Oryctolagus cuniculus: one gene and its partners. The protein of the gene in region 5 interacts with the protein of the main gene of each other region in a pairwise test. Links are inferred from orthologs where the notes say so. Each region holds a gene or a part of one and is shown on either strand. Other genes may lie near its edges.

Region 1 (3,500 bases), on a different chromosome or scaffold from region 5:
CCTACCTTTTGTGCTGCTCCACCTCTTCCGGGGAGGGGCCGTTCTGGCTGGCCCACGCGGCAGGTGCTGGGGGCGGCGGAGGCCCACCTCCTGGGGGTGGCAGGGGAGACAGAGCCGGGGTCAGCCTTGCCTGTGGCCTCCCCCACCCGGCTCAGGAATCCCACCCAGGGGCACTCACTTCCTTCCTCCCCCAGACCCTGGGCAGGGGCGACACCACTCCCCCTGCCAGGGCGGCCAGGACGCCCGGGGACAGTGGGGAAGCCGAGTCCAGGTGGACCCCTCCCCCTTGCCTCCCTCGGTCCTGCCCAGCCCCGGGTGGCCAGGGGGCCCGGAGTCGCAACCACCTCTGTGTGTGGGCAGTTTCGGTTCCACAGTGGCTATGCCACACCCCAGAGGCAGGGCGGGCAGCGGAGGTCAGCGGCTGACCTCAGGTCCAGGGCTGGCAGCCCTGGCATCGCAGGGGGCTGTGAGCTGTGCAGTCTCGGGCCCCACCCACATTCCCCAGGTGAGCCCTGGGAGAGCAGGCCTGGAGGCTTTCCTGACGCCGGGGCTGGTGACAGAAGCCAGCACGGGCTGCGGGGGCTCCTGGGGGCTGGGACCAGGCTGCGTCCTCCGGAGTCCACACAGGAGCCCTGTGATGTCCCACAGTAGCGACCGAGCGGCTCCATTTTCGAGATGGGTAACCCGAGGCCCCAGCCGGCGGCCGGCACCCACCTTCCAAGGCCTCTAGGGCCTCGGCCATGCCGGCGGCGAACTGCGCCGCGTCCTCCTTGCTGCCAAAGTTGAGGCCCCAGACCTGGCGGGCGTCGCGCCACTGGTGGAAGTTGGGGGTGGCCTGATTGTACTTGATGCCCCGGACGATGGCACAGTTGATGACCACCTGGAGGCAGGGAAAGCGGGGTGAGGGCGGTGGCCCAGGGGGCGGCCCCAGTGTGTGGGGGGGATCGGGGGGGACGCGCACCTGCTGGTCCGGCTGCATCTTGCGGCCCACGACCCGGAAGGAATTGGCCGTGGGGTTGTGGTAGATCTGCACGCGGCTGAAGGCCTGGGGCCCCGTGCCCGCGGGGAGCCATTGCTTGTTGCTGTCATCGTAAAGCATCACCTTGGCCCGGCTGGTGCACACGACCATCTCACTGCGGGAGGCGCAGGGGAGGCGGGGTCACCCTCGCCACCAGGGGCAGGGGAGGCGGGGTCACCCTCACCACCAGGGGCAGGGGAGGCGGGGTCACCCTCGCCACCAGGGGCAGGGGAGGCGGGGTCACCCTCGCCACCAGGGGCAGGGGAGGCGGGGTCACCCTCGCCACCAGGGGCAGGGGAGGCGGGGTCACCCTCGCCACCAGGGTCTCCCTGGGAGACGCTGCGAGGGGGAGAGGGCGTGACACAGCCCCCCCCCCCAGGAGACCCAGGCAGAGAAGATGCTGGACGGGGGGCAGCTGAGACCAGTGCGCCCTGGGGGGTGTGAGATGGATGGGGAGAAACAGGAAGAGGAGACATGGAGACGCAGGGGAGGGAGGAAGGTGCCCTGAGCTGCTCTGGGGCCAGCCCTACCTCAGTTTCCCTCTCTGCCAAGTTTTGGATGCCCCCCCTGCTGCTCAGAGCAGAAGAGGAAGCTGAGGTCGGGGAGGGGGAGGGGAGGCCTGTGGCCGGCCGGGGACAGCACAGACCCCTGCTCTCCACTGCAAGGGGGTGCCGGGCCCCCACTGCATCCTTCCGGCTCCCCTGGGCACTACGGGCCTGTGTTGGGTGCCACTGGGGACAATGACACAGCAGTGGCCCAGATGGCCCTGGCCACACCCTCCCAGGGCTCACAGTCCAGTGCCTCAAGACACGGGTCCCTAGGCCGTGATGCCCAGGGCTTGGACCAAGGAGCCGCCCAGGCTACAGGCATGGAGGACGCGGGGCCTGCTGCCCACTCTGCAGGAGGGGGTCAGAGTTCCAGTCTGCCGTCCGCAGGCGTGGATTCAAGTCCCTGCAGAGCCCCGAGGCCGGAGCCTGCACACGGGAAATGAGGGCTGGGTGCCCGGTCGGCCTCGGCTTCCGTGCTGCGGTCACCCTGTGGCCGGCCGGGGACCTCCCACCGTTCCTGGGAGGTCGGAGCCCCCCTCCCCCAATGAGGAACCCCAGGCTCCCCCAGGGGAAGTGACTCGCCCAAGGTCGCACAGCCCAGGGGGAAGCGCCGGCCTCGGCTGGGTGCCCCCCACCGTGGGTTTTTCCTGAAAAGAGGAAGTTGGCGGCTGGGGGGGCGGGGAATGACACCCACAGAGGCTCTGTCTCCACCGGGCGGGTGCTGGGGTGTGACACTGACCACTGACACGGCCCAGCCTGGCACCCTCACGGCAGTCCTGGGGCGGACATGACCTCCCCCTCGGCTCAGAGGCGACCAGGGCCGGGATGCGCCCCCGCACACACTGCTAAAGCAGCGGCAGGGGCAGGATTCGAACCCAGGTCCGCAGTCTTGCCCCCCGGGGACTGCGCCGGCCCTGCCCAAACACCAGGTGCAAGCCAGAGAAGCAGGCCTCCAGGGCTGTTTCTGGTTCCCACTGCCCCCGGCAGGGCAGGTAGGGCTAAGGCCGCGCCCACACCTGCCACCCACACCCAGGGCAGGCTCTGGCCCGGCGCCCGGGGCCACTGCCCCACCCTGGCTGTACTTTGGGCTCCCAGCTGGCCCTGCCCTGCTGAGGCTCTGGCCTGGCCTCGGGGCCAGGCACCTGCTGGGCGACCCTGGGCGGCTCCGACTCCTGCCCCGTGAGAGCACAGGGATCCGGCTGAGACCCAGAGGAGGGGCAGCACCATGCCCCACTCTGCAGGATCCACACCAGGTTCCTGCCGGCCTGGGTGCCCTGCCTGCTCTCCAGTCTCCTCTCCCAGCGCCCACTGACCAAGGCCTGCCCGAGCCCTGTGCAGGTGCAGCCCCCTTCAGACGTCACCTCTTCCCAGAAGCCCTCCCTGGCCACCTCATCTTCCTCCGGCTTCCCCGCGACACGGTTTCCAGCAGCGTCCCTGCTTGGCACGCGCCTGTCTGCCTTGCCAAAGCACCAGGTCCAGCGGGGCAGGGATACTCGCCCCTCTGCGCACCACTGCGTCCCCGGAACCTGGAGGGCGCCTAGCACACGCTCTGAACACATCCGAGTAAAAAGGCAAACCCGGCGGCACAGTGGCTGGCGGCCCAGACCGCGCTCCCGGCTCCCACGACCCCACAGCCTCAGGAGACCAACCCCGCTGCCTGCCCGGGCACAGAGAGGTGAAGACACTTGGCCCAGGTCACACTGCACGAAAGCACCGGGGCTCCTGTCTGATCTCATTTAAGACGCGAGCCCACTTACTCCAAGCCCACTTACGTTTTAACCTCACGGAAAGATGAGGAAAAGGCTGGGTGGCTCAAGAGTCTGTCTTTCCCCCAAAAGTGTGGAGGCTGCTAACAGCGTCACACGCTGTGGCGGGAGGCGGAGGCAGGCTGGGGGCTGGGGGCCGTGGGCACGGGGCCCTCGCTTCACTCTTCC
Region 2 (4,160 bases), on a different chromosome or scaffold from region 5:
TGCTCTCTCCTCACTCATTAAGGGTAAAAGATGTTTCATTTCTCAAAGGCAATTTAATTGCCATATTTCAGCAACATTATTTCAAAGTATATAAAAATAGAATACCCTGCTTACCCCTAAAACATTAAAACTCTACTGGAAAGACATTCTAAAATTTCAAAGTATTTGTAGAGAAAGTATCAAATATGAAAGAACAAGAGGCTTCTCACCGAGCCCTTTGGACAGCCAGTTGTTCACTCCCTGGGGTGCAGCGTCATAGGCTGTGTGAGGAGAGTAGATGGCAACTCTGTTCTCCAAAGCCCGGATCACCAGGCGCTCCTTCCAGGACTTCCAGGTTATGCGCTTCATGGGTAGGAAGATGGGTGGATGGTAGGAAAGGATGAGATCCGCCTTCTTTTGCAGAGCCTCCTCCATCACTGGCTCAGTCAAGTCATTGGTCAGGAAGAGTGTATTCACAGTATGTGGTGGGCTTGGTTCCACCAGCAACCCAACATTGTCCCAACTTTCAGCAAAAGACAGGGATGCAAAGTCATTCAAGGAGGAGATGAGCGCCTTCAGATCCATGAAGGAACGGGAAGAACTGCAGTTCAGAGAATGGACAAGCCGGACTGTCGAGGGGGCCAGGCGTGCACAAGATGACAACATACAGCAAGCAGGCAACGCTCAGTTTCTGAAGTCAAACACAGAGAAGAGTACACATGTACAGTTCAGGCCTGCACCTCCGAGGCTTCAAAGCATCTGAGTCAAAGAGCTGCTGTCATACTAACCTGGGTTCAAATACTGCCTCTGCCACTTAGCTCAGTCATTTAACCTCTTGTAGCTTTTTTGTTTGCTCATCTGAAAAACAGAGACTGGGGCCAGCGTTGCAGCACAGTGGGTTAAGCTGCCTCTTCCAAGGCCGCCATCCTCAATTCTAGTTGCTCCACTTCTGATCCAGCTGCCTGCTAATGCGCCCGGAGAAAGCAGTGAAAAATGGACCAAGTGCTTGGACCTTTGCCACCCACATGGGAGATCCAGATGGAATTCCTAACTCCTGGCTTCAGACTGGCCCAGCCAAGGCCATTGTGGCCATCTGGGGAATGAACCAGCAGATGGAAGATCTCTCTCTCTAACTCTGGGTTTCAAATAAATGTTGTAAAAAGTAAAATAAAAAATGGAGACTATAACCTACTTCACAGGTCCTCCAGAGTGTACATTAGCTTTTTGTTACTACAGTGAAATACAAGAAATATAGCCAACTATAAATTTAATGAATAAGCATAACACAGTGATAGCAAAAATAAATTTTTTCACAATGTCTATTGCAAAAATATTTTAATAGGATGTGGATACTCAATATATTACTTTTTACACTGTTATTTACTTTCATATTTTATTCAAATGACCACAAGATGGAAGCCAGAAGCCTAGAACTCAATCTAGGTCTCCCCCATGGGTGGCAGGGACCCAAGGACTTGACCCACCACTGCTGCCTCCCAGGGGTACATTGGCAGGGAACCGGAATCAGAAGCTGGGGCTTGAATCCAGGCATTTCAGAATAGAATGCCAGAGTCCTAAGCAGCATCCTAACCACTATGCCAAAATGCTCACCCCTGGTTAATTCTTTCTTTCTCTCTTTCTCTCTTTCCCTCTTTCTCTCTTTCTCTCTCTCTCTCTCTTTCTCTCTTTCTCTCTTTCTTTCTCTCTTTCTTTCTCTCTTTCTCTCTCTCTCTCTTTCTCTCTTTCTCTCTTTGACAGGCAGAATGGACAATGAGAGAGAGAGAGACAGAGAGAAAGGTCTTCCTTTGCCGTTGGTTCACCCTCCAATGGCCGCCGCGGCCAGCGCGCTGCGGCCGGCGCACCACGCTGATCCGATGGCAGAAGCCAGGTGCTCTCCTGGTCTCCCATGGGGTGCAGGGCCCAAGCACTTGGGCCATCCTCCACTGCACTCCCTGGCCACGGCAGAGAGCTGGCCTGGAAGAGGGGCAACTTTGAAACCAAAACCACTTTCCAAAACCACGCAAGGTCTTGGAAGATCTAATGGTTCTGACACCACTTCCACCCTCCAATTACATATCCTGATACTAATCCACTCTCCCAACTCTTGTAAATCTGGCCAGCTCCAAAGCCGGCGTGCCACCGCGAAGGGTTTCCGTCGTTTACACGTGAAAGAGCGCTTGGAAAGAAGGCGGTGAAACACCGCCACGAGAGAACGGGCGGCTCCAAGCCCGGAGCCACAGGCAGCGAGAACAGTGGGTGGCAGCCCAGGACGCTGGTGAACTGCACTGACGGAGGCCAGACCGCAGTCCTCGGCCACACCTGTGCCACCACGGGCAAAGTACCTGACTTCTGAGGTTCTGCCCTGTAAAAAGACGAATATAAAAACGCCCAGCTCGTAGTACGCAGGCGAGATTTAAACACAAGGCAGGAACAATGCCTGTCCTAGAGCCCCTGTGTTATCGCTAGCCAATACGACCTGCAAACGACTCTGCCTTGCTTCGTCTCCAGCTCACTCCAGTGCTACTTCAAGCCTTTCCCAGGCAGTGAAGGGTCAGAAGGCACAGTGTGTAGGTCCTCGGGAACCCCGCCCCACCACTGCCCTCTGCGCTCGTTCAGCAGGGCAGTTTTGTGCCCTCTTTTTCTGCAGCACCCACGTCTAACAGTCATCTCCTACCCTGCCACAACTCCTCTCTTCGGGTTTAAATTGCCCACTACTCACGAGTCCGGGCACACCTCCGTAGCCACCACTTCCCGTCCCGAGCCGGCTCTCCTGGCCTTCGGCTATAGGCAGCGAGGAACAGGGCGGAAGTTGGTCCCTCCTGTTTTACAGTCGTACCCAAAACACTGCCTGAGTTTGGCGGGTAGTTCCGGGTTATGCTCCGGACTCCAGTGCAGTTAACAGAGCTGCACCTCGCCGTCAAATTTCAAATTAGCGGATAAATCACATTGTTTCCCTAGTGCTAGTCATTTTGGTTTGATATTAGAAGAAGGGAGGAAAGAGGAGGTAAGAAGGCTCTCTCTAATGGGTCCCGCGCCCGACTTCCGGTGGCCCCCAAACTCGTAATTGAGAACCGAAAGACTTGTCCAGGCTTCTGCAATTGCATCTTCGCTGTTTAACAACGGCTGTGCTGACCGAAGTGGGTAAGTGTGGGGCAACTTCATTCATTCTTTCATTTACTTTTTCAAGGGCTTGCTGAGCCCTGTATTGCACTGTTAGTTCTTGGGACACTTGGAGTGAACGTGCTGTGTGGCAAATGTGTTGCTGGAACGGCAGAATAAGTAAGGAAAGGATTTAGTATGTTTAGTATGTTAGTGATAAGTAATTTGGGAAGAGAAAACAGTACAGGTCCTGGGTTTCGAGCACTGTATTTTTAAACATTTGTTTATTTTTATTTATTTGAAAGACAGTTGCAGAGAGAGAGAGAGAATCTTCCATTCGGTGGTTCGCTCCCCCAAATGGCCGCAATGGCCGGAGCTGAGCTGATCCGAAGCCGGGAGCCAGGAGCCTTCTCCCGATCTCCTACGTGGGTGCAGAGGCCCAAGCGCTTGGGCCATCCTCTGCTGCTTCCCCACACCACAAGCTGGGAGCTGGATTGCAAGTGGAGCAGCCGGGACTCGAACCCGCGCCCACATGGGATGGCAGGCAGCAGGCAGAGCCCTAACCTACTAGCCACAGTGCTGGCTCCTGCAGCTGTTTAAATAGGGCTGTGAGGTAAGTAAGACTTGACATTTGAGGAGAGACCTAGAGGTAAGGAAATTAGCTGTAAGAAAGTGTTAGTGTTAGTGTTGCCAGCCAGTGCCTGGATTCTAAGGTGGGAATGTACCTGGCTTATTGGACTTGCAAAGAGGCTCTTAGAGAAGAGTGAGTAGAAGTAGCAGATTGCTGGGCTTCATTCCATAGGGTCTCATCACTTCTGTAACTGGATTTTTGTTACATGGGATACCACCCCAGGCTTTTTCTTATTTACAATAAAGATGAGCCTCTGTGAATGAAGACAGCAGGAAAATGACCTTAATTCTTTCTTCTTTTTGGGAATAGACTTATTCTTGAGCTTCTCTTAAGACTCGGAGAAGTTAAAAAGAACTCCCTGGAACTATCAAGAAGAAAAATGGTAAGTTTTATAGAATTTTTATAAATATCTTTCATAAGTAATTTTTAGAACTGTTAGTGACAAGGTGAA
Region 3 (4,053 bases), on a different chromosome or scaffold from region 5:
AGCGGGAGGCGGCGCTGAACGAACTAGTTGCGAGTTGTAAGGTTATACATTTGTAGCAGTCAAGTTTAGACGCATAACTGGACCCATAAGACAAAAGGCTCCAGGCCCAGAAGAAATGGAAATTTTCTTCATAATGATGTTAGCATCCATGTTGTAAGCCTACAGCGGGCAGGAGGGTGTGAGGCGTGCCCCCCACACTCCGGGGTAACTGCACCCATTTCACGGACGAGAAAATAAAGTAGGCAGTCCCCCAGAGGCGCGGCGGGAACACTAGGCGGGCGCCTCGCTTTGCCCGAATGCCTTGACCCTCCAGGGCTGCCTGCCAAGACTCGTTTAGAAAAGTGCCCACTGTGTGCCGGGGGGCTCATTTAAACAGCCGCGGGATTAGCCGGATAAACAGGGCTCGGTCTCCTTTGCCAGGAAGGCGCTCCCCAAAGAGAGGCCAGGTGAACAATCAACTCCAGAGCGGGCCGGCGGGGGGCTCGCGGGGGGCTCACGGGGGCCCGGCTGTCCCCGGCGTTCCTCCGTCCCGGGCCTCCAAGCCCTCGCCCCGAGGGCGCGACCCGCGTCTCAGCCCCTACCGGCGAGGAGCCCGGGGGCGCGCAGCTCCCTCGTGGAAAGCAGGCAAACAAAAGTGGCACATCCCAGCCCCCGGTCCGCGCACGGCCAGGGCCCGGCTCCCCGAAGCCCCCTCTCCGAGCCGGGGCGCGGGGGACGCCGCGTGCGCCCGGGGACCCGGCTCTCCAGCCTCCCTTGCTCAGCCCGCCCGGCCCTCGCTCTGCCGTCGAGCCGGGGCCGGGGTCGGCCGCTTCCGCTCCGCGCCGCCGCCCCTCCCCGGCGCGCGCCATCCGGCCCGGGCCGCGCCGACTCCGCGGCCCCTCCTCCCGCCGGGGGGCTTCGGCGGCCCCCGTCCCGTCCCTGCGGGCTGACGGCGGCAGCCCACGTCCAGGGAGGGCGGAGGGAGGCGGAGAGGGAGGGGAGAGCGGAGAGGGGAGGGAGGGAGGCGAGAGAAAGGAGCTGCAGCGGACTCGGACTTCCCAAAGCCGGCCAGGAGCGCGCAGCCAGCGGCTCTCCGCGTCCCAGCGTCCCAGCCGCGGCCGGCGCCTCCTCCTCCTCCTCCTCCTCTCCGGCCGCCCCATCCCTTCCTTCCAGCCTCGCTCTGCTCCGGCAGCGGCAGCCCCCAGCCCCAGCTCTCCGCGCTCACTCCTGGGACGCGCGCCCTCGCCCCATCCTCTCTTCCTCCCTCCCTCCCTTCCTTCCTTCCCTCGCGCCCGCCCTCCCGCCCCAGGTCTCCCTCCCGGTCGCGATTGTCTCCGCGCCCCGCTCGGCCGGCCCGCGCCCGCGCCCTGCCCGCACTTCCTCCCCGAGTCGCCCGCCGCCGTCGTCTGCGCGCCGCGGGAGCCCAGCCCGAGCCTTCGCAGCCCCGCGGCGCCCGCCCGAGGCAGCCCCGGCGCCCCGGGGAAGGCAGAAGCGGGCGAGCGCGCCCTCGCCCAGCCCCGCGCCCCAGCCCTGCCCGGCGACGAAGGACCGGGAAGATGAACAACGGCGGCAAAGCCGAGAAGGAGAACACCCCGAGCGAGGCCAACCTCCAGGAGGAAGAGGTAGCGGTGGCCCGGGCGGGCGGCGGGGCGCGTCCGGGGGCCGGCGCGCCGTGGCCCCGGCTGGGTGCGTCTCCAGGGCGCGGGTTCTGGGGGTGTCCGCGCACCCTGCGCTGCGTGACTTGCAGAACTTTGCGGAGACACCCTCCAAGTAGAATGCTCGGCTTTGTGTGCCCGGGATTTTAAAAGCGGAATCGAGAGCTGACTCCTGGGTGACCTCAGGTTACTGGGACCCGAGGGTCAGGGCTTCTCTGAGCGCCAGGGGCTGGAAGCCGGCGGGAGGGAGTGCGTGTGTCTGTGTGCGTGCGTGCGGGCGGCTTTGGGAAGGAGTTGGGGAGAAGCTCTGTTAGGGGCTGGCGCTGGCGCCGGTGTGAAAAGTTCTTGGCCAAGTCTCTCCGGAGCCGGGGCGTGTGTGGATTCATCGATAACTCGCCGCCCGCGAGGCGGGAACCCCCGAACCCCGGGCTGTGGTAGACTTCGGGGGCGGGGTGTGGATGTGGGGAGCAGAATGAGAGGGGCCGAAAGCGTCGCTCCCGGAATGCTGGCCAGGACGCTGCGGTAGGACTTTGATTTGGGTTGTGCGTCCGGGATCCTGGAGGGGAGACAGCTTGCAGTTGGGGGGCACTTGCCTTTGGCAAACGCGAAGCCGAGGAAGTGTGGGGAAGGGGTGTGCGGGACGCACGTTCCAGAACTCCGTAGTTAGGGGATGATTGTGGGGTTTCTCAAATGACTGTTCCCGCAGCCCCAGAAACAGTGCCTCCGCTCACTTGCTGAGTTCCCTCGAAGTTGGGGCTCTCAGCCTTCCGCCAAGAGCTCGCGCGCGTGTGTGCGGGAGCCAGAGAGCGTGCGGTGCGCGCGGGCGGCGAGGCGGTGCCGCAGCGCCGGGCCCGAGAGTTGGAAGTGGACCTCGTGCAGGAATCCCTCAGCCCTTTTAAGTCGTCCACGTGTAAAATTGGAGCTATTTAATTAAATAGGAGAGACAGGCGAAGACCATGCAAAACAATGCAAAAGGTAGCGCCGTGGAGCAGCGTTGTCACCTGGGTGAGTTAGTAAGCTGAGAATTGGCTCCTGGAGGAAATCGCCTGTTTTATGACAAAGCTTTATTTTGAAAAGCTGTTTGCCCCTTCTTGTTTGGTGCCTGCAAATGTAGGACTACTCGTGACAGTGCTTTTAAAAAGACACCAAGGCTGGAATTCCAAATTCCACTTTCTGGCTTCTCTACTGTTTAGTTTATTTTCCCTGTCCTTTAAAAACTGAAAAATGATGGCAAATTTGCATTTTCAGGAATTGGCATGTGCAGCTAATTCACTTAACCCGTCAAGAGAATCATTGCTTCAGAAACCTTTCTGTTCCACTTAGAGTGGCAATCTGGCCGCTCCTAAGTGTGAGAGTGTATCTTGTGAAACAATCTTTCTCTGTTAACCAGTTGAGGAAACTTGTAGTTAAGAGAAAGTTCATCAGACTGCAGATTTTTTTCTTTTTCTTTTGGTAGTAGCAAAATGGGCTCAGGTGTCTCGAAAACCATATCCAATTAACTTAAAATCGAATGGACGACAGAAGTCAGATTTTTCTCTTGACCCATGCCAGGTGAACTGCCGCCAGGATTTGCCTGGATGGGCTCGGTTATCGCGAGGTTGTGGGTCCCTGTGATCAGAGGCCATCCAAGTCGCAGGCATTGCTTCTAGTTTCCCCAGCAGCGTTCCTTTCCGGGTGGGAAAGGCGTGGGCTCCTCCAGGTGTAGGTCTTTTTAGCAAAACGCTTGTTACTTAAAAAATAAGACAGGAGGTAGGAAGGTTTCAGAACCCAGGTTGTATAAGAAGCGAGAGTATACACTGCGGATACACCCTGACCAGAGAGGGTTTATGGTTGACATTCTGGTTTTGAAACACTAACCTCCTCTCTCTTTCTCCCCCTCCCCTTTTTTTTCCTAACCCTGAAAGCCACAAGTTAAATAAATATGGCATTTGGTGGGTGCCATTCAGTGAGCTTAGCATTGCACAAAATCCCACTGCACTGGCCGCTTTGCCTGCCCACCCAGAGGAGCAGCGGTTTGTTTTCAGAAAGCTTTGGCAATGGGCCGCAGGAGACAGGGCATACACGTGTAACACGGACACGCACACACCAGGACAGGAGGGCTGTTTCTGGTGACTTGTGAACGGCAGTGGACAGTGAGTTCCAATCACCGTGAGAAAACGGTCGATGTTGTGGTTGTCAGGGTGCTTCGGCTGTTTGCCACCTTGTGCAGTCCAAGTTGTGTCATTTTCTATGGAAATGAGTTCCTTTTATCATCCAGTGTATTTTAACCCCGGTTAAGAGTTTCTGATGCCGACCCTGAAAAAGATGCCTAAATCCCCGTTTAGCTCCAGTTGGATAGAATGAGCAGTCCAGCATTTAGGAGAAATTTCTGCAGTTTTTGGTGGTGGGAGTTTTTGAGAACTTGAGCAGAATACACTTT
Region 4 (4,299 bases), on a different chromosome or scaffold from region 5:
CACCCATGGACCACCACGAAATGGACTTCTCCCCCGAGGCGAAGCAAAATTCCAAACATCATGTGCGTCTGAGGAAGGGGCAATCTCAGTGCAGAGAGAAGGGAACAGAGCAAAGGGCAGTTCTACTATTGCACCAAGCACCAACCGGAGTCCTCCTGTCAGCAGCAGCCACAGGCTCTCGTGGCCATCTGCCATCATATTACAGGAGACTACAGGCCAAGGCACCTCCCTCTTCCCAGGGCTCTAAAGCGCCATCTGTTCCCAAGGGGAAACCAATGGGGGGAGGCGAGGGGACAGATTCCAAAGCCACTGGAAGGGAGATGAAGCAGCCAACGTCAGGGGCAGGCGTCTGGCAGTGATTAACACCCTCCTTGGCCTCTCATTCTCAGTCTTCCATTCCAGCTCCCTGCTAATGCGCCTGGGAAAGTAGCAGAGGATGGCCCAAGTGCTTGGGTCCCTACACCCACGTGGGAGACCCGGAAGAAGCTCCTGGCTCCTGGCTGGCCCAGCCCTGGCCATTGCGGCCATTTAAGGAATGAGCCAGTGGATGGAAGATCTCTCTCCTCCTCTCCATGTCTTCCTTTCAAATTAATTAATTAAAAAAAAAAAAATCCTGCTTCCATTGCATATGGAAGATCTCTGTCTCTGTGTCAAATAAATTTAAAAAAATATCAAAGTCGTGCCAATCTCATCTAGACAAAGATGCTGCTCTCAGGATGTGTGCAAGCTCATGCAAGAGATGTCAGAAGTCAGTAAAGAATAGCAACTTACTCACGTGCCCACTTCCCTTCCTGGCTAACCCGCTAAGAGAAAGGGTAGCAACTTTCTCACGGGTCAGTTCGTCAAAAGTTAAAGAAGGGCCCGGACAACTACAGCTGCAGAACGAGCCTTATCTTTCAGGTAGGGCGGCATGGTCAAACCGCGATGCACTGGAAGCCGAAAGCTTGGATCCGGCTTGCGCTCTATCTTGAATTATCTTCAAGGCTCGGGACAAGTCAAACCCTGGCGTTGGATTTCCAAATCTGAGAAATGGGCAAGTTGGGTTGGTTAACTTCTGCTCTGTGCGTTATGGTTGCCCAGAGGGTGCGCCTCGCCCGAGGACTGCTCGGCCTTGCAGGGCGGGGCGAGGAGAGCAAGAAACCAGACTCAAGACAGGGCCCTGGGGCAGGGCCCGACCCTACAAAACAGGGGCTATGAGAGGGAGCAAGGGCCACGGCTTCGCCCCTACCTGCCGCCTGCCAATTCCTCGATCATCCAAATCACGCCCCGCAGCCTCGGCCGCAGCTCACTGCCACCTACTCCAGCCTGGCGCCCCGGGCGGGCCTGGCTCAATCCGTCCCACCATGCCCCGCCAGCCGCAGCGCCTGCCAATGGACCCGGACCCGCCGCCTGCCCATCCTCAACCCTAGGCGCAGGCGCAGGCGCAGGCACACGAGCCCGAAGTTCCGCCCCCGGCCTTCTCCCGGGGAAACCTGGGAAATGGAGTTTGCCCTGCAGGAGGCGTGTCGCCGGGCACGTGACAAAGCCCGCCAATTGGCACGTTCCTTACTGCAGCACTGTGTCTGGGTTCGGCCAACGAGACGTCGGCTTCGTTTCCATCCGGGCTCTGGGACAGTGGCAGTCATGGCGCCACCTGTAAGGTACTGCATCCCCGGTAAGTGCACGGCTCCCGTACGGAGTCCCGGCTAGGGCCAGAGGCAGGAAGGCAGGACGCCTAGCAGCCTCTGGGGACCAGTGACCGATGCAGCGCTCTTTCCGCAGGCGAACGTCTGTGTAACTTGGAGGAGGGCAGCCCAGGCAGCGGCACCTACACACGGCACGGATACATCTTTTCTTCCCTCGCCGGCTGTCTAACGAAGACCAGCGAGAACGGCGCGGTACGCGGGGCGGCTGGCCATCTCCCTTCTTTGTCATGGACTGCCCTTGAGTTCCGGCCCTTAGGCCCGGGTAGGGCAGGCGCGTCCCTGTAGAACGACTTGGTCTCGGTTGGCCGTGGGCGCCGCACACCGGTCGTGTGGACCTCGCGCGGTTGGGGCTGCCGACCCCTAGGGGCAGCTGCGAGCTGAGAGTGACCCCGGCCAATCCGGCAGCCAGCCGAATCCCGCCCGAGTAGTCCCGACCTGTCCGTCTTCATCCGGCTCGGCGGCACTGCCCGCAGTGCAGTTGGCTTGCTTCCCCCGTGTCTCCTGCCATCCGCCTGAACGCGCGCCTCTCCTCGGTCTATGTAACTCTGACCTCGTTCAACTAGCCTCTCGTATCACTTTTTGGAAGGGATTTTGGCGGGGGTGGGGGTGGGGGAGGTTGAGTCTTGTTTTTATTTTGTTAAACTCACTTCCGAGCACTTGTTTCAGCCTGCAAACGCCCAAAGTTCCACGCAAGCAGGCCGCACCACCCACCTTACCTGCAGTGCCCGGCACAAGGCAGATGGTCAGTTGAATACATGAGCGATGTTGTCCTGGCCAGTTCCAGAGATCAAACCAGGACCAGCTCCCGATCAGATACGCAGTCTTGGAAGGAGCAGCTTAAAGATGGGTAGCACAGGAGAAAAAGGATTCAGAATTAGAACGTGCTTGCTCAGAAAGAAAGCCCTACAGATATTCTCTAAAGATAGAAGGAAACCAGTATCCAGTATTATAAAACACTTAGAAATGTTAGCCGGGCAATAAAATAAGAAATAGAAACAGTGCGACTTTGGAGGTCAGAATCAAATCCATGGCTACAGGTAATATAGTGGTGTACTGAGAAATTCCAAGTCACCAAAAAACCAACTCTGCTCTGGAATGGTTAACTTATGTCTTCTACAGCAGCCTTGCCAGGGCCCCCGGGGCTCTTCCTAATGGAAGACCCTCTGTCCTGGACTGTAAATGAATCCATAGTCCATCTGCCTTGTGACCTCAACTCTGTGCCACAGCATTCCTGTCGAACTCTCCAGCCACACTTTACTCAGGGCTTAGCCAGAACATTCATTTTTTACTGTTCTCTTTGTAGCTCCCGGTAGTGTCTGTGATGAGAGAAGCGGAATCCCAATTACTTCCAGATGTGGGCTCTATTGTAACATGTAAGGTAAGTTGTTACCAGCCTCCATGCTTAGGACACCAACCCAGTGCACAGAGCATGATCATTCTTGAACTGCATTGTCCAGTCTGATAGCCACTAGCCTCATATGGCTATTTAAATTTAACAGTGTCAGGGCAAGCATATGACCTAGCGGCTAAGACATCGTTGAAGTACCTGTATCGCATGTTGGAATGCTTGGGTTTGATCCCTGGCTCCATCTGCTGACTTCAGTTTCCTGCTAATGCAGTCTCTGGCAGGCAGCAGGTGGTGGCCCAAGTAGTTAGGCTACTACCACCATGTGGGAGACCTGGATTAAGTACTTGACTCCCAGCCTCAGCCACTGCAGGCACTTAAGGAATAAATCAGTGGGTGGAAGTGTTCTCTTTCTTTCTGTCTCTCAAATAAATATTTCAAAATATGCTAGACAGTACTAACATTTCATTAAGCATACTAACCACTCGCCACATTTCCAGCTCTCAGTAGCTACTGTGGCTAGTGGTTGCTAATTTGGTCAGCACATGGTATTTCTATCATCACAGAATGTCTCACTGGACTGAGTGGTCTGGAGATTTCTAGGAAAATGAACAAAATTTGGGTATGCATAGTTATTTGAGCCGATTCCCTGACTTTGTGGTTCCCTCCAACATCTAGGAAATGGGTGAAAAGGAGACCTAATTTTGAACATCTGTGGCTGCGGCCTTTTTCTGCAGAGAAGCAAAAGACTTTATTCTCTGGAATTCCTATTAAATGTAAAGTCTTTTTTTTTTTTTTTTTTTTTTTGACAGGCAGAGTAGACAGTGAGAGAGAGAGACAGAGAGAAAGGTCTTCCTTTGCCGTTGGTTCACCCTCCAATGGCCGCCGCAGCTAGCATGCTGCGGCCGGCGCACAGCGCTGATCCGAAGCCAGGAGCCAGGTGCTTCTCCTGGTCTCCCATGGGGTGCAGGGCCCAAGCACCTGGGTCATCCTCCACTGCACTCCCGGGCCACAGCAGAGAGCTGGCCTGGAAGAGGGGCAACCGGGACAGAATCTGGTGCCCCAACTGGGACTAGAACCTGGTGTGCCGGCGCCACAGGCGGAGGATTAGCCTAGTGAGCCGCGGCGCCGGCCGAGTCTTTTTTTTTTTTAAGATTTTATTTGTTTATTTGAAGGGGCAGAGTTAGAGAGAGAGAGATGGGAAAAGATCTTGCATCTGCTTGTTCACTCCCCAAATGGCTGCAATGGCCAGGTCTAGGCCAGACCAAA
Region 5 (4,290 bases):
CAGCAGAGCTCTCCACCAGGATCTGACCACCGTGGTCCCTCCCACCAAGACAGGAGCCCTGCGGGCAAGCAGAGGGCTCCACCCAACACCCCCCACCCCCCTTCACATTGCTGACGTCCAGCATGGGCCAAGTGCTCAGTGCCTGATCCCTGGGAGCAAACCAAGAATGGCATCCCGTCCCTGGGAAGGTAAGCAACTAGGATGGCTGTGGAGGTCTGTTTTTCCATCGGACAGCTAGTTCCCTGGGGACCTGGATTTCCTTGGAAAGTCCCAGAAGGCAGAAGTGACTGCAGAGAGCAAACCAATTCCCTTAGCGTGAAGACAGGGAAACCTGTGCAAGACTACAGGGCAGGCAGATCTCAGCTCTGTGCCCTTTCTACCACACTGACACAGAGAAAATACCTAGAAAATGAGTGCGCTCCAAGAGCTGGGTTTTTAAAAGCCTTGAGTCTACAAGTGAGGGTGCTGCAGTGGGTAAAGGTCCCACTCAGGAAGCCCACATCCCAGACTGGTGTCCATGGGCTTCCTGCTAACGCACTTGGGAGGCAGCAAGTGATGACTCAAGAACCAGGCTTCCCGCCACCCACACAGGAGACCAGAATCCAGTTCTGGGCTCCTGGCTTTGGCAGCTAGTATTTGGGCAGTGAACCAACAGGTGGAAGACTCCTCTCTGCCTTTTAAATAAACAAATATTTAAAAAAAGTAAAGTCTACATGTCTCTGCCTTTCCCTCTCTGTAACTCTGCCTTTCAAATAACCGTTTTTTAAAAAAATATGTTTAAAAAGTCCACAGGCGACTTGAAACTGTATACCAAAAGCAGCAAGATACAGAGAACAATGTAGTTCACGCACAAAGCTGAGAAAAACATCTCGTTCCCTGTTGGAGACCAAGCCAGTGCATGGGCAACCACTCTCACGCAAAGGGTGGGAAGAGGCGCACAGGTGCACTGGGCCAGAGCACAGCTCAGGGGAGGAGCGTGCAGACCGAGTAAAGGGAGAGACATGTGCGCAGGCCCGGTATGGCCGGAAAGTTCTAGAGAACGAGCCTTTAGCCAGACAAAATGGCCGAAAGCGGTGCGCATGCGCAGATAGATTGAACAAGGGTGGGGTTGGGGGGAGAGTACTCTGGGCGGGGCCTCTAGTTCCCCCCCACCACCCGCCAGGGAAGGAAGGGTGCGCAGGCACTCATGGGTTGAACCGAGTTGGGGTTCGGGGAGCGTACTCTGGGCTGGGCCTCTAGTCTCCCGGCCAGGGAAGGAAGGGTGCGCAGGCGCAGTGATAGCTGAGCCACGCCCACCTGCCAGAAAGTCTTGAAGGAAGAGGACGCCCGTGTGAGACAGGAGCCGGAAGAGCAGCGCAGGCGCAGTAGGGCTGGTCTCTCCCTGGAGTCCCCAGGGGGAGCCACCGCTAAACGCCCCGGGAGCCATCTTTTTTAAGGCCAAAACTACTCCCTAAATATTAAAAGTCCTTTCGATCTCCCTTTCTCTTTTGCTTTTTCTAAGAAAACACCCATCCCAAATCCTCGTTCAGAGAAGGGTTGCTCAGAGCCAAGCATCTTCCCCACCTCGAGCCCCCAGGCCCCGCCAGCCCCTACCCCAGCGGCCTGTTCTGTGGGTTCGGGTCTCGGGCCACGAGCTCGGGGAGCAGGGAGCCCGCAGCCGGGAGAGGAGCGGACGCGGCGCCAAGGCAGGGCGAGGTGCGGGAATCTTACCGAAATCCGCGAACGGCGGGCTGGGCGGGGGCCGCAGCGGCCTGCACAGCTCCAGGTGGCCAGGGCCGCCCAGGCCTGCTGCCTCCAGCCCGAGCTGGGCCGCCACGTGGCCGCGGCCGCCCAGGACAGGCTGGAAGGCGCTCGGGCCCGGGCTGGGGCCCCGCGGCGGCCTCTCGCAAAAGTAGGCAGCCGCGCGGCCCTCGGGCTCCGGCCGGAGATCTCCCGAAGCCGCCGGCGGAGGCAGCAGGTGGAGGCCTGGGCCCTGGCTGGCGGCCGCGGCCCCAGCCACCGCCCCGGCGGCCAGCTCAGGCGCCTGAGGGCCCAGGGCCAGCTCCTGCTCCTCCTCCGAGGCCTGCTTCCTGAGCACCTTCTGCGCGGCCATGATCTTCTGGCGCTCGGTGATCAGGCAGCACTTGTCGCAGGTGCACTGCTTCCAGCCGCACTTTCCCGCGTGGCCCTTGACGGGCACCAGGAAGCCGTGGTTGCGGCACCTGGAGCACTTGGGGGCGCGCAGCATCTTGTCGGCCAGTTTAGCAGCGTCTGCCTTCATCGTGCAACCGCCACCTCGGGGAGCCGCGGAGCAAGTGGCGCAGCAGTGAACTGCGCCCCACAAGTCCCTGGTGCTGGGGACAGTGGATACACTTGTAGCAAACCGGCACGTAGTGCGTCCCGAGAAACGCCCAAAAACTGCCGCCAGACCCTTGCATTCTCTCGCCCTTTTTTTTTTCGGTGCAGTGCAAACGTTGGGATTTCTGTGCCTTTGGTAAGTAGGTGCAAGGGATTGGGTTAAATACATTCTTCATGGAGTGCTATTGCATGCATGTCATCTGGAATATCCGTAGTCTCAGGCATTTAATTTTTCAAACTCGATATTCCCGCCATCCCAAGACGGGAGGTACTTCGTGATTAAAAAAAAAAGGCGGAGTGATACCCAGCGGCCCACAGATTTAAAACTTTAGAAAATCGCCTCTTAGTAAACCCGTGACAGTATAAAAGCACTTTAAGAGGCAGAACGCCTTTCTCCTTCCCGAGGCTGCTGCTTCTGCGGAAGCTCATGTCTCCTCCTTGTAGAGAAACAGCCGTTCACGGGGAGGCTTCTAGAATATTCTCGGGCACTCTGTGCCGCGTGGGGGTTGCTGAAGGGTGTGTCCTTCCAGTCATTCCGGCTGGGGAAGAGTGTTGGGATAGGAATCCGTTTCTGGAAATGGTGCTTTTCTGTTGCTGATGCCTTCGGGAGGCAAACATGCTTAGAATGTTTTCAAGTAAAATAAACCAAGGGTATTTTGGCACTGGCTTGAAGCATTGCTTAACTCTTTGGTTGTCGCTCTGAAACAATCCAGGTCTTGGGAAAAGTCGGCACAGGCTTCATAGTTTACCCAGGGGCACTAAATCAATACGTATTCTTGATTTCTCTCTCTTTTTTAATAGAAATTGGTGAATCCCTGAGGTCCTTTTATTTGGGCAAAGAAAAAAAAAAAAAAAGAGGTGTGGGATGGGCCGCTAACCGCTGACAGGCTTCTAATCGTAGGCTGACCCTACTGAAGGAGGCAGTGAAGGTTAGCCGCTGGCTGAAGTGTGTGTCCGCTACTGCCCTCTCTCTGTTCAGGATGCTCTTCCTGGCTAGCATGGCAGGTGCGGCCTAGCTGTGCACCCTGCCGTCTCACCAGCTGCCTGGGGATAGGAAACCATTGCCTTTCTGAGACCCGTGAGAGGGTAGAAAGCTGAGAGGAGGTTTGTAGTCTTTTTCTGCTTAAAAGAATATTCTTCATCTTAATAACAGGGCAAAAGTAGATGTCACCTGTATTCTTTAGGAATGCTGCCGTTAGCTTTGCATTCATTTAAAGAGGGCTACCTTTGTCTCTGCTTCACTCTTAACACTATATATTTTTTAAAATTATTTATATTCATCCGAGAGGCAGACTGACAGACGGAGGTCCCATCTACTGGTTCACTCCCATTTAAATGTCCATAACAGGGCAGGCGCTGTGGTACAGCAGGTTGGGCTATGGCTATAGCTGCAGCACCAGCATCCCATGTGGGCTCTGGTTCAAGTCCAGGCTGTTTCACTTCCAGTCCAGCTCCCTGCTAGTATACCTGGGAGGGCCCAAGTCTTTGGGCTCCTGCACCACGTGCAGGACCTGGAGGAAGCTCCTGGCTCCTGGCTTCCACCTGGCTCACCCCTGGTCATCGCAGCCATTTAGGGAGTGAACCAGCAGATGGAAGATTCTCTCTCTCTCTCTCTCTCTCTCTCTCTGTAAGTCTACATTTCAAATAAATATATACATCTTAAAAAAAATAGCGGTGCTGAGCCAGGCCACAGCCAGGAACCAGGAACTCTTTCTGGGTCTCCCACATGAGTGGCAGGAATCCAGATACTCAAGCGATCACCTGCTGCCTCCCAGGGTGTACGTTAGGTGGAAGCTGGAATCAGGAGCAGGACTGGGACTCGAACCCAAATACTTCCATGGGGGATGCAGACATCTTAACAACTAGATCAAAGGCCCACCCCTACATGATTTTTTTTTTTTATTTTAAAAGCATGATCCTTTGGATAAAGGATAGGCAAGCTCTTTTCCTCAA
Region 6 (3,500 bases), on a different chromosome or scaffold from region 5:
ACATTCATGTACACTTCTTTGTTCCAATTAACTTACATTTTATTGAAATGTTATTTCCTGCACATGTCACATTCAATTTTTTTATATTTAGAAAAACAATTTCCTTTAAAAATGTAAAAACATTCATAATCCTTTTATACATGAAATGGCAAGACATAGGATTTTTTTTTTGTAGTATTTTGCCTAACCATTCATACCAAATAAAAGACAGGTGCACAGCCAAACCAAAATATTTTTTTAAAAAAATTGGTTTCTGAATTTGTTTTTGACCTGAGCACCCATTACTTATAATGAGAAGACAAAAATCAAGACTACTAATGTGCACATCAATATCTAAGTCAAAAAATTACTTGCTCCTACATACCTTTTAAACTTCTACAGTGGTTCCCTCCCACTCCTCCCTCATATTCTAATTTCTTATAAGAGTTGTCTCTGTCTACTTTTGCAATTTTCTTATCTCCTACTCTCTCCTCAATCCACTTTTATAAATTTGTAATTTTAAATTTTATTTATTGTGTTTAAGAGGTAGAGAGATAGACCGACCACTCATCTCATGGCAAAGAACTCAACCCAGGTCTCCCATGTAGATGGCAGGAGCCCAATTACTTGAGCCATCACTGCTACCTCCTGGGGTCTGAATTAGAAAAAAAGCCAAAAAGTGGAGCCAGGACTCAACCTCAGGCTCTCTGATACGGGATGGCTGTCCCAGGCAGTAGATGAACAGCTGTCTCAAGTGTCAGCCCCATGCCACTTGAAGAGACTCAGTTGGAGAAGTGGACATCATAATCAGGAGGAGCTGGGCCAAAATGTCCTCTGCAAAGAACATGGAATTTTGAAGGTAAGGAAAAAATTCACCTGGGACCATATGGAACTTACCAGCAAGACTGAACTGACTACTCTTACAAAGCCCAGCTCAATGTCTCTATGATGTTTTTTAAACCTCAAGTGTGAGGGAGGGTATACATAAGCAGATGTACCTGAGATATTTTTCCATATTTTGGTCAAAAGTAATTGACTCAACATGCATTGGAGACCTCTTATCTGCCAGGCATAGTTCTTGGCACTGGGGATATATGGTAGGAAACAAATGAGACAACTGTCACCAGCCCTCATGGAGCTGGCAACTTAGGGTGGAAAGTCATTGGACAAAGACCTGAAGGAAGCGGATGGCAAGTCATAGCAGGGAAGAGAAACACAAAAGCACCGGAGATGCAGCTCATTCAGGAAATTAAAGAAAAAGCAGACAGCTACAGGAAAGAGTGAGTGATAAGAGAGGAAGAGAAGAGCATGATGTCACAGGGAAGGGGACCTGACCACACAACCAGACCCATCGCTTTCTAAGACAGAGGAGGACGTAACTCCGGCCACAGAGGGCAGTGACCTACCAAAGTCAAACCGAACCAAAAGGAAAATCCGGATTCTTCCTGGGGGCAATTTTAAATTCCAATCTGTAAGTGAAGTTATGCAGAGAGACGCTCACCTTCTAACAGGTTGTGCAATTTTGCTTCGAGGCAGATTACTCCCATTTATTGCCAAAGAAGGTCTTGGAAGCGCGCTGCGGCCCATTGTCCCAGACGCTGCAGCTTTGTTTGGTGTGGGGATTCCTGTGTTGGAATACAACTGCAAGCCACTGGACAAAGGCATGTTACTGCTGCCTTGAACGGTGGGACTCACGTAGGCTGTGGCTTTAAGAGGTTGTCGTACAGACACGGGAAAGTGTCCCACGCTGTGGACTCTGTGCTGAATTTGTCCTGGTGACGGAACTAGAAGAGAAAATCAAGTTCATGTGAGGAAACGTCTACTTCTATCCAACCTAAGAAATGTGTGCTATATTTGGAAGAACCTATTTTGTTTCAGAGTACAACATACATGGGGGAGTTAAAGACAGGTTCTAGGCAGCATTTTGTAATGCAAATTGCTAATGCTACATAAGACTCTCCTGTTTGGTTCACCAGCAATGCAGTGGAGTGTCTACCCACATTCAGAAGTCAGTTCTAAGCACAGTCTCCTTTCTTTTAGTAAAAATAATAATCCCCTGAGTTCTTGGAAGACAAATTCTCCCTTGTTCACTTGAAGACATTCAGATTTCTTGATGCTACCTGTGGGAATGTTTTTATGAAAATAAAAAATAAGGGGACAGTTTAATAGTTGCAGTAGAAATGAAGACAGAGTGATATCTGTGGTCACAAGCAGGTTATTACGGACATCTTCTTTAAATATTCATTATGCCATTTATCTACATCCCAGGGTGACCGGTAAGACTGAATTAATCAATCCAAATGAAACTTCAGAATAGTGCCTGGCACTTAGCAACGCTCAACAAGTACTAGCTATCATCACTTGTTTGAAAAGATTTATTTATTTAAAGTCAGAGTTAGAGAGGGAGACAGAGATATTGCATCCACCGATTCACTTCCAAGTGGACTCAATGGCCTGAGCTGGGCCAGGACAAAGCCAGGAACTTCTTTCAGGTCTCCCATGTGTGTAACAGGGGCCCAAACACTTGAGCCATCTTTGGCTGCTTTTCCTAGGCCAGGAGCATGGAGATGGATGGGAAGTGGAGCATTCAGGACATGAACCAGCATACATATGGGATGCCAGCATTGCAGGAGGTGGCTTTAACCATTATGATACATGAGACCCAGCAGAAAATTTTAAATTCTATAATCACTTTCTCTAAAAAAAAAAATCACAAATTTAACAAGAACTCATACACACAATTCTGTTCATTTACTAAGTACCCTAGTCTCTGTTGCCTACCACCTACAATTCAGTTAAATGTGAATACATTTTCTAAAATAGTCTAATATTTAACTTAATCATAAAGTAAATGATATATTCTTTTAATAAAAATAGGAAGGGAGAATGATAAGATGTATCTATCTTTTTTTTAGTTTAATATCTCTTGAAACTTTAAAAAATTAGTTTTGTTCAAGTATATATTAGGTAAAATCTATACACAGAAATGATGAAATATGAGGGAATTTCAAAGGTTCATGGAAAAACAATTAAAAGATGAGAAAAGCCACATTCCCTGCTGACTTTGAACCTGGCTGGGAGGGTTGACAGGGGGCTGCGCACCTACACAGGACTGTGAGGTGCCCCAACCTCTTGACCTATCACAGGCTCCAATTGCCAAGGTGTAATCTCCACAAGCAGCTGGCTCTGGGAATGTCTCTGTTCTCTCCATGGACAGTGCAGGCTCATGGGGTCAAGTGGATCCTCTGCACCCCTTGGCCGTGAGAGCCTTGCATTCAGCAACTGTGAGAATTCTGTGATTGCATGATAGGACGGGGGTATAGCTGAGTCTCTAGGCAATCACTGTGTATGGCATCATAGGCTCAGAAGTTGCTGACAGATTGGGGAGGGTCACTAAAGAGGGTTCCTTGCTCACACTGAGGACCACACAGATCCTTTGTGCACTTCATGCACCAGCATGGATGGGGGCTGTAGTCACTGTGGGCTAACTCTGGTAATCGATCACATGGGAGAGATGAGGA
Region 7 (3,500 bases), on a different chromosome or scaffold from region 5:
ATTTCTGATCAGATGCATTTATCAGCTCCTAATGTCTCTCCTTCCTCATTCACTTCCTCTTCCGTGACTGACAGAATAAGCTAAGCACGGACATACAGACATGGAAATGCATTATTATTTTTTTTACCACAGTTAAAAAAAGAAAAAAAAGAAAGAAAAAAATGCACAATCTTTGGAACAAAAGAATTAAAGGCAGAAATTTAAAGGAAAAATACATATTCAAAGAACATAGTGAGGTATAAAAAAGTATTCTCTTTTTTTTGTGTTTTTTTTTGTGTGTGTGTGTTTGCTTTCCTCTTCATCTTGCTATAGAGTTCCTCTACTTAGTAAATATTGCAATAGCCAGGCCTCATGGACTGGGGGCTGTCCCACTTGCAGGGTCTCACGTCACTTCAGTAGGGGGCAAATCGGCTGTAGCCACCTCGGTATAAACTCGCCTGCAGTGATTAAAAACATAAAAATAATTAAACGGTTGGTGAGAGAAAACATGAAAAATGAAGAAAAACGTCCCGCAAAAGGATCTGGAAAGAGGTTTCCTTCAGAGCCAAGACAACCAATCAGACACTGCCCCACGCAGGGCCAGCGAAGAGCTTCGCCCGTGGGCATGCGGCCCAGCACCCAGCACACCCTGCTGACCAGACGCTCTCGAGGGAGCACGGTGACGTCCATCAGCCCAGAAGCAGGCCTGACACTGTTAAAACGAGTTCTGCAAAGAGTGTGCTTTGTGCCAGCGGGGCTCGAGGCCGACCTGGTCGACCGCTCCATCCCAGCCAAAGACAGGTGCGGATGCCTCCTCCTCCCACCATGGAGCACTCTGACCAGGCCACTGCCTTTGGCAAGTGCAGTTCTGTCCTATGTAAGGTGGTTCTGTATCCAAACCCGAGTCAGTCTTTTCAATTAGCAAAGTCTATTTCCTATTCCATCTATACAATACGCCAACCAGGTTGTGTCTTGACACACATGAACTTGTATCTATACAATACGCCAACCAGGTTGTGTCTTGACATACATGAACTTGTATCTATACAATACGCCAACCAGGTTGTGTCTTGACACACATGAACTTGTATCTGTAGCGGGGGTTTTAGTGATTGATCCCAAAAGTTCTCCTGTTTTCTCAAATGATGTCATCTAATGGTCTATCTCTTCGGCCAGAAGTCCCCAGTACGGGACTTGCATCATGGGGGCGCCAGGGCAGGCCTCAGGAGCGCCCCCGAGTGTCCTCGTGCTGTGTGTGCTACCTCAGTCTAAGTGCTTTCGGCTTCCAGGGCCTGCTACGGGCCAGCCGCAGCCATCTACCGAGAAACCACGCTGTCCTACTCCAATCCGGCCTGTTTCACACTTCATTCTGCCTCACTCGGATCAGACAACCCAGCTGCACTGGCTGGAGACAACGCGTGCCTCCGGGAGGTGTCCCTGTCTCCTGTCACGGCTGGGGAGTCCCAGCTACGCCAGCCAGGGCGCTGGTCAGGAGGCGTGCTCCACCTGAGTGCCACAGACTTGCAGACTTCCGAGAGCGAGTCCTGCCACAACTGCTGCGGACAAAGTGACCTGAGAAGTGACCCTTGGCGATGCCGAGGGCCAGGTGCCAGGAGGCTTCAGAGAAGCAGACATTCCTTGGCACCTGCGTCTGGAACGCAGACATACCACGTTTTTTGAAAAGCTCTGTGAAAACTGGAGAGCCTTATGCCCCCAACCCAAGCCTCTGCCAACGCCCATGGATAGCACTGCGCCACAGAAGGCACCTGGAACGTGGACAGAGTAACCGTCCACTCGCTCCCTCTCTTCTCCACCGAGTGATGCCCTTACGCAGGCTCTCACGGCTTCCTTCTCTCCGCTGCCCCAGGCAGGCCACGTGGCCACGGCACGGCATGGGGAGGGGACGGAGCGGGGGCTCTACTGTGTTGGCAGTGGGTGAGGGGCCGGATTCGTTACCTGCCTAGATCTTTCCCGTCAGCGGGCACAAGTTAGGGCTCAAGACAGAAAGGTCCACATACTCACCACAGCGCCAACTCCATAGCTAGCGGCAGGGGCAAGGGCATGGTAGGGGTCGGCTGTGTACACCCTGCCATAGCTGAAAAGGAGAAACACAGTCAGAGGCTGGGAGCTACCGAACTGCAAGGGCAGCTGTGGGAGACGCGCGGGTCACTCGGACCGGGCTGTTGTCAGGAGGACTGGCAAGGATGGGTGAAACCTCTCCCGCTTCTACTCGCAGGGCGGTGACTGACACACCCTGAAGGGCATCTAGAAACCAGAGTAGATGCGGGTTCGAGGTGAAGAACGGGGGGGGGGGGGGGGGGGCTGGGGTTCAAGTCACAGGGGGGGGGGGATTTGGGCCCCGTCTGGGCTGGCGGCAGCCTGACGGAGGAAGCGCTGTGGCAGATGGCAGAGGCAGGAAGGGGCGTGGTGCCTGGGCCGGGGCCCCGCCCTACGTACCCGTCGCTGTAGGCGGCAGCGGCGGCGGCCGCGGCTGTGGCTGCGGTCGCAGTAGCGGGCTGTGCGTATCTGTAGGCTGCATATCCACCCTACAGGAGAGAGGAGGACTGACTTTACAGACACGCTTCCCCCGGGCCAGGCAAACACGCACCCGCCCACGCGCATACACACACGTGTGGACACAGGGACAGACACGAACACGGACAACATATGGGAAGAGCATGTTTCAAACTGCCTCGGTCTGCATGTTATGGTTCTGAGAAAATGCGATCCATTCAGCGCAGGGACTTGCTTTCGTCTGTGACGCAGCACACTGTGCACGTGGGACCTGCTGCACGTGAGCAAGGAAGTAGCAGCTTGGATCTTTCTCGCGTCACAGTCTTGGCTGGGAATTTCAACAGTGAAAATGTCAGGGCAGGTGTTTGGCGCAGCAGTTAAGACGCGACTTGGGATGCCCGTGCCCGGTCACACTAACAGAGTCAGGGCCTGGCTCTGCTCACTCCTGATTCCAGCTCCCTGTGCAGCCTGGGAGGCAGTGGACATGGCCCTAGCAGTTGAGGGCATGACAAGAACATGGGAGATGTGGATTAGAGTCTCTGGGAGGGGGGGGTGAACCAGTGGACGAGAGCTCGCTCTGATGCTTACTATTTCTCTGCCTTTCAAATAAAAAGAAAAAACAATGGGAAAATAGTCATGGGACGCTGGGGAACGCTAACTGACAAGGAATGTACATCAGAGTTAAGCACACCCCCATTAAGTGGACATGTGTTAACTCCAGGTGCTCTGATGTGTGCTTGGATTGAGTCGCTGCTGGGAGACCACAGCACGTAGCTCTGCTCCATCCAACCCAGGAGGGCTTTGTCAAGAGGCTACGATGATGAGGCAACATTTAGGAAGGTACACCACAGAGCAGGGGTCGGCAAACTTTGGCCTGTGAGTCAAGGCAGCTTGCACCTGTCTTTGAAAGTAGCTGTGACATAGACCACATGGCCTACAAAACTAAACTATTAACCTTGGCCCTCTGTGGACAAAGTCTGCCGACACGACCTGCACTTCCACCTGGG

The links.
Region 1: the proteins of DMRTB1 (region 5) and VASP interact in a two-hybrid assay, tested with the Homo sapiens proteins (2 studies listed by BioGRID and IntAct). The two-hybrid records come from large-scale screens. The link is inferred for Oryctolagus cuniculus from reciprocal best matches to the Homo sapiens genes DMRTB1 and VASP.
Region 2: the proteins of DMRTB1 (region 5) and NIF3L1 interact in a two-hybrid assay, tested with the Homo sapiens proteins (2 studies listed by BioGRID and IntAct). The two-hybrid records come from large-scale screens. The link is inferred for Oryctolagus cuniculus from reciprocal best matches to the Homo sapiens genes DMRTB1 and NIF3L1.
Region 3: the proteins of DMRTB1 (region 5) and RBPMS interact in a two-hybrid assay, tested with the Homo sapiens proteins (2 studies listed by BioGRID). The link is inferred for Oryctolagus cuniculus from reciprocal best matches to the Homo sapiens genes DMRTB1 and RBPMS.
Region 4: the proteins of DMRTB1 (region 5) and EXOSC1 interact in a two-hybrid assay, tested with the Homo sapiens proteins (2 studies listed by BioGRID). The link is inferred for Oryctolagus cuniculus from reciprocal best matches to the Homo sapiens genes DMRTB1 and EXOSC1.
Region 6: the proteins of DMRTB1 (region 5) and SLAIN1 interact in a two-hybrid assay, tested with the Homo sapiens proteins (2 studies listed by BioGRID). The link is inferred for Oryctolagus cuniculus from reciprocal best matches to the Homo sapiens genes DMRTB1 and SLAIN1.
Region 7: the proteins of DMRTB1 (region 5) and RBFOX2 interact in a two-hybrid assay, tested with the Homo sapiens proteins (3 studies listed by BioGRID). The link is inferred for Oryctolagus cuniculus from reciprocal best matches to the Homo sapiens genes DMRTB1 and RBFOX2.

What each region holds. Positions count from the first base shown.
Region 1 is NC_091449.1:11,380,990-11,384,489, forward strand, and holds part of VASP (vasodilator-stimulated phosphoprotein), read right to left. Parts: intron 1,134-3,500; coding exon 962-1,133; intron 881-961; coding exon 715-880; intron 91-714; coding exon 6-90; intron 1-5. UniProt on the Homo sapiens protein: Ena/VASP proteins are actin-associated proteins involved in a range of processes dependent on cytoskeleton remodeling and cell polarity such as axon guidance, lamellipodial and filopodial dynamics, platelet activation and cell migration.
Region 2 is NC_091434.1:39,117,357-39,121,516, forward strand, and holds the start of NIF3L1 (NIF3-like protein 1), read right to left. Parts: upstream 2,801-4,160; 5' UTR 2,699-2,800; exon of another isoform or gene 2,654-2,698; intron 945-2,653; exon of another isoform or gene 852-944; 5' UTR 768-851; intron 671-767; 5' UTR 646-670; coding exon 210-645; intron 1-209. Other genes in the region: PPIL3 (peptidyl-prolyl cis-trans isomerase-like 3), read left to right, coding at 4,089-4,091. UniProt on the Homo sapiens protein: May function as a transcriptional corepressor through its interaction with COPS2, negatively regulating the expression of genes involved in neuronal differentiation.
Region 3 is NC_091433.1:80,425,921-80,429,973, forward strand, and holds the start of RBPMS (RNA-binding protein with multiple splicing), read left to right. Parts: upstream 1-1,253; 5' UTR 1,254-1,535; coding exon 1,536-1,601; intron 1,602-4,053. Other genes in the region: collagen alpha-2(I) chain-like, read right to left, coding at 369-1,139.
Region 4 is NC_091446.1:32,396,776-32,401,074, forward strand, and holds the start of EXOSC1 (exosome complex component CSL4), read left to right. Parts: upstream 1-1,499; 5' UTR 1,500-1,623; coding exon 1,624-1,654; intron 1,655-1,761; coding exon 1,762-1,877; intron 1,878-2,988; coding exon 2,989-3,063; intron 3,064-4,299. UniProt on the Homo sapiens protein: Non-catalytic component of the RNA exosome complex which has 3'->5' exoribonuclease activity and participates in a multitude of cellular RNA processing and degradation events.
Region 5 is NC_091438.1:119,539,930-119,544,219, forward strand, and holds the start of DMRTB1 (doublesex- and mab-3-related transcription factor B1), read right to left. Parts: upstream 2,801-4,290; 5' UTR 2,507-2,800; coding exon 1,711-2,506; intron 1-1,710.
Region 6 is NC_091440.1:34,625,649-34,629,148, forward strand, and holds part of SLAIN1 (SLAIN motif-containing protein 1), read right to left. Parts: intron 1,764-3,500; coding exon 1,481-1,763; intron 1-1,480. UniProt on the Homo sapiens protein: Microtubule plus-end tracking protein that might be involved in the regulation of cytoplasmic microtubule dynamics, microtubule organization and microtubule elongation.
Region 7 is NC_091442.1:113,182,136-113,185,635, forward strand, and holds part of RBFOX2 (RNA binding protein fox-1 homolog 2), read right to left. Parts: intron 2,526-3,500; coding exon 2,437-2,525; intron 2,075-2,436; coding exon 2,002-2,074; intron 438-2,001; coding exon 383-437; 3' UTR 1-382. UniProt on the Homo sapiens protein: RNA-binding protein that regulates alternative splicing events by binding to 5'-UGCAUGU-3' elements. Prevents binding of U2AF2 to the 3'-splice site.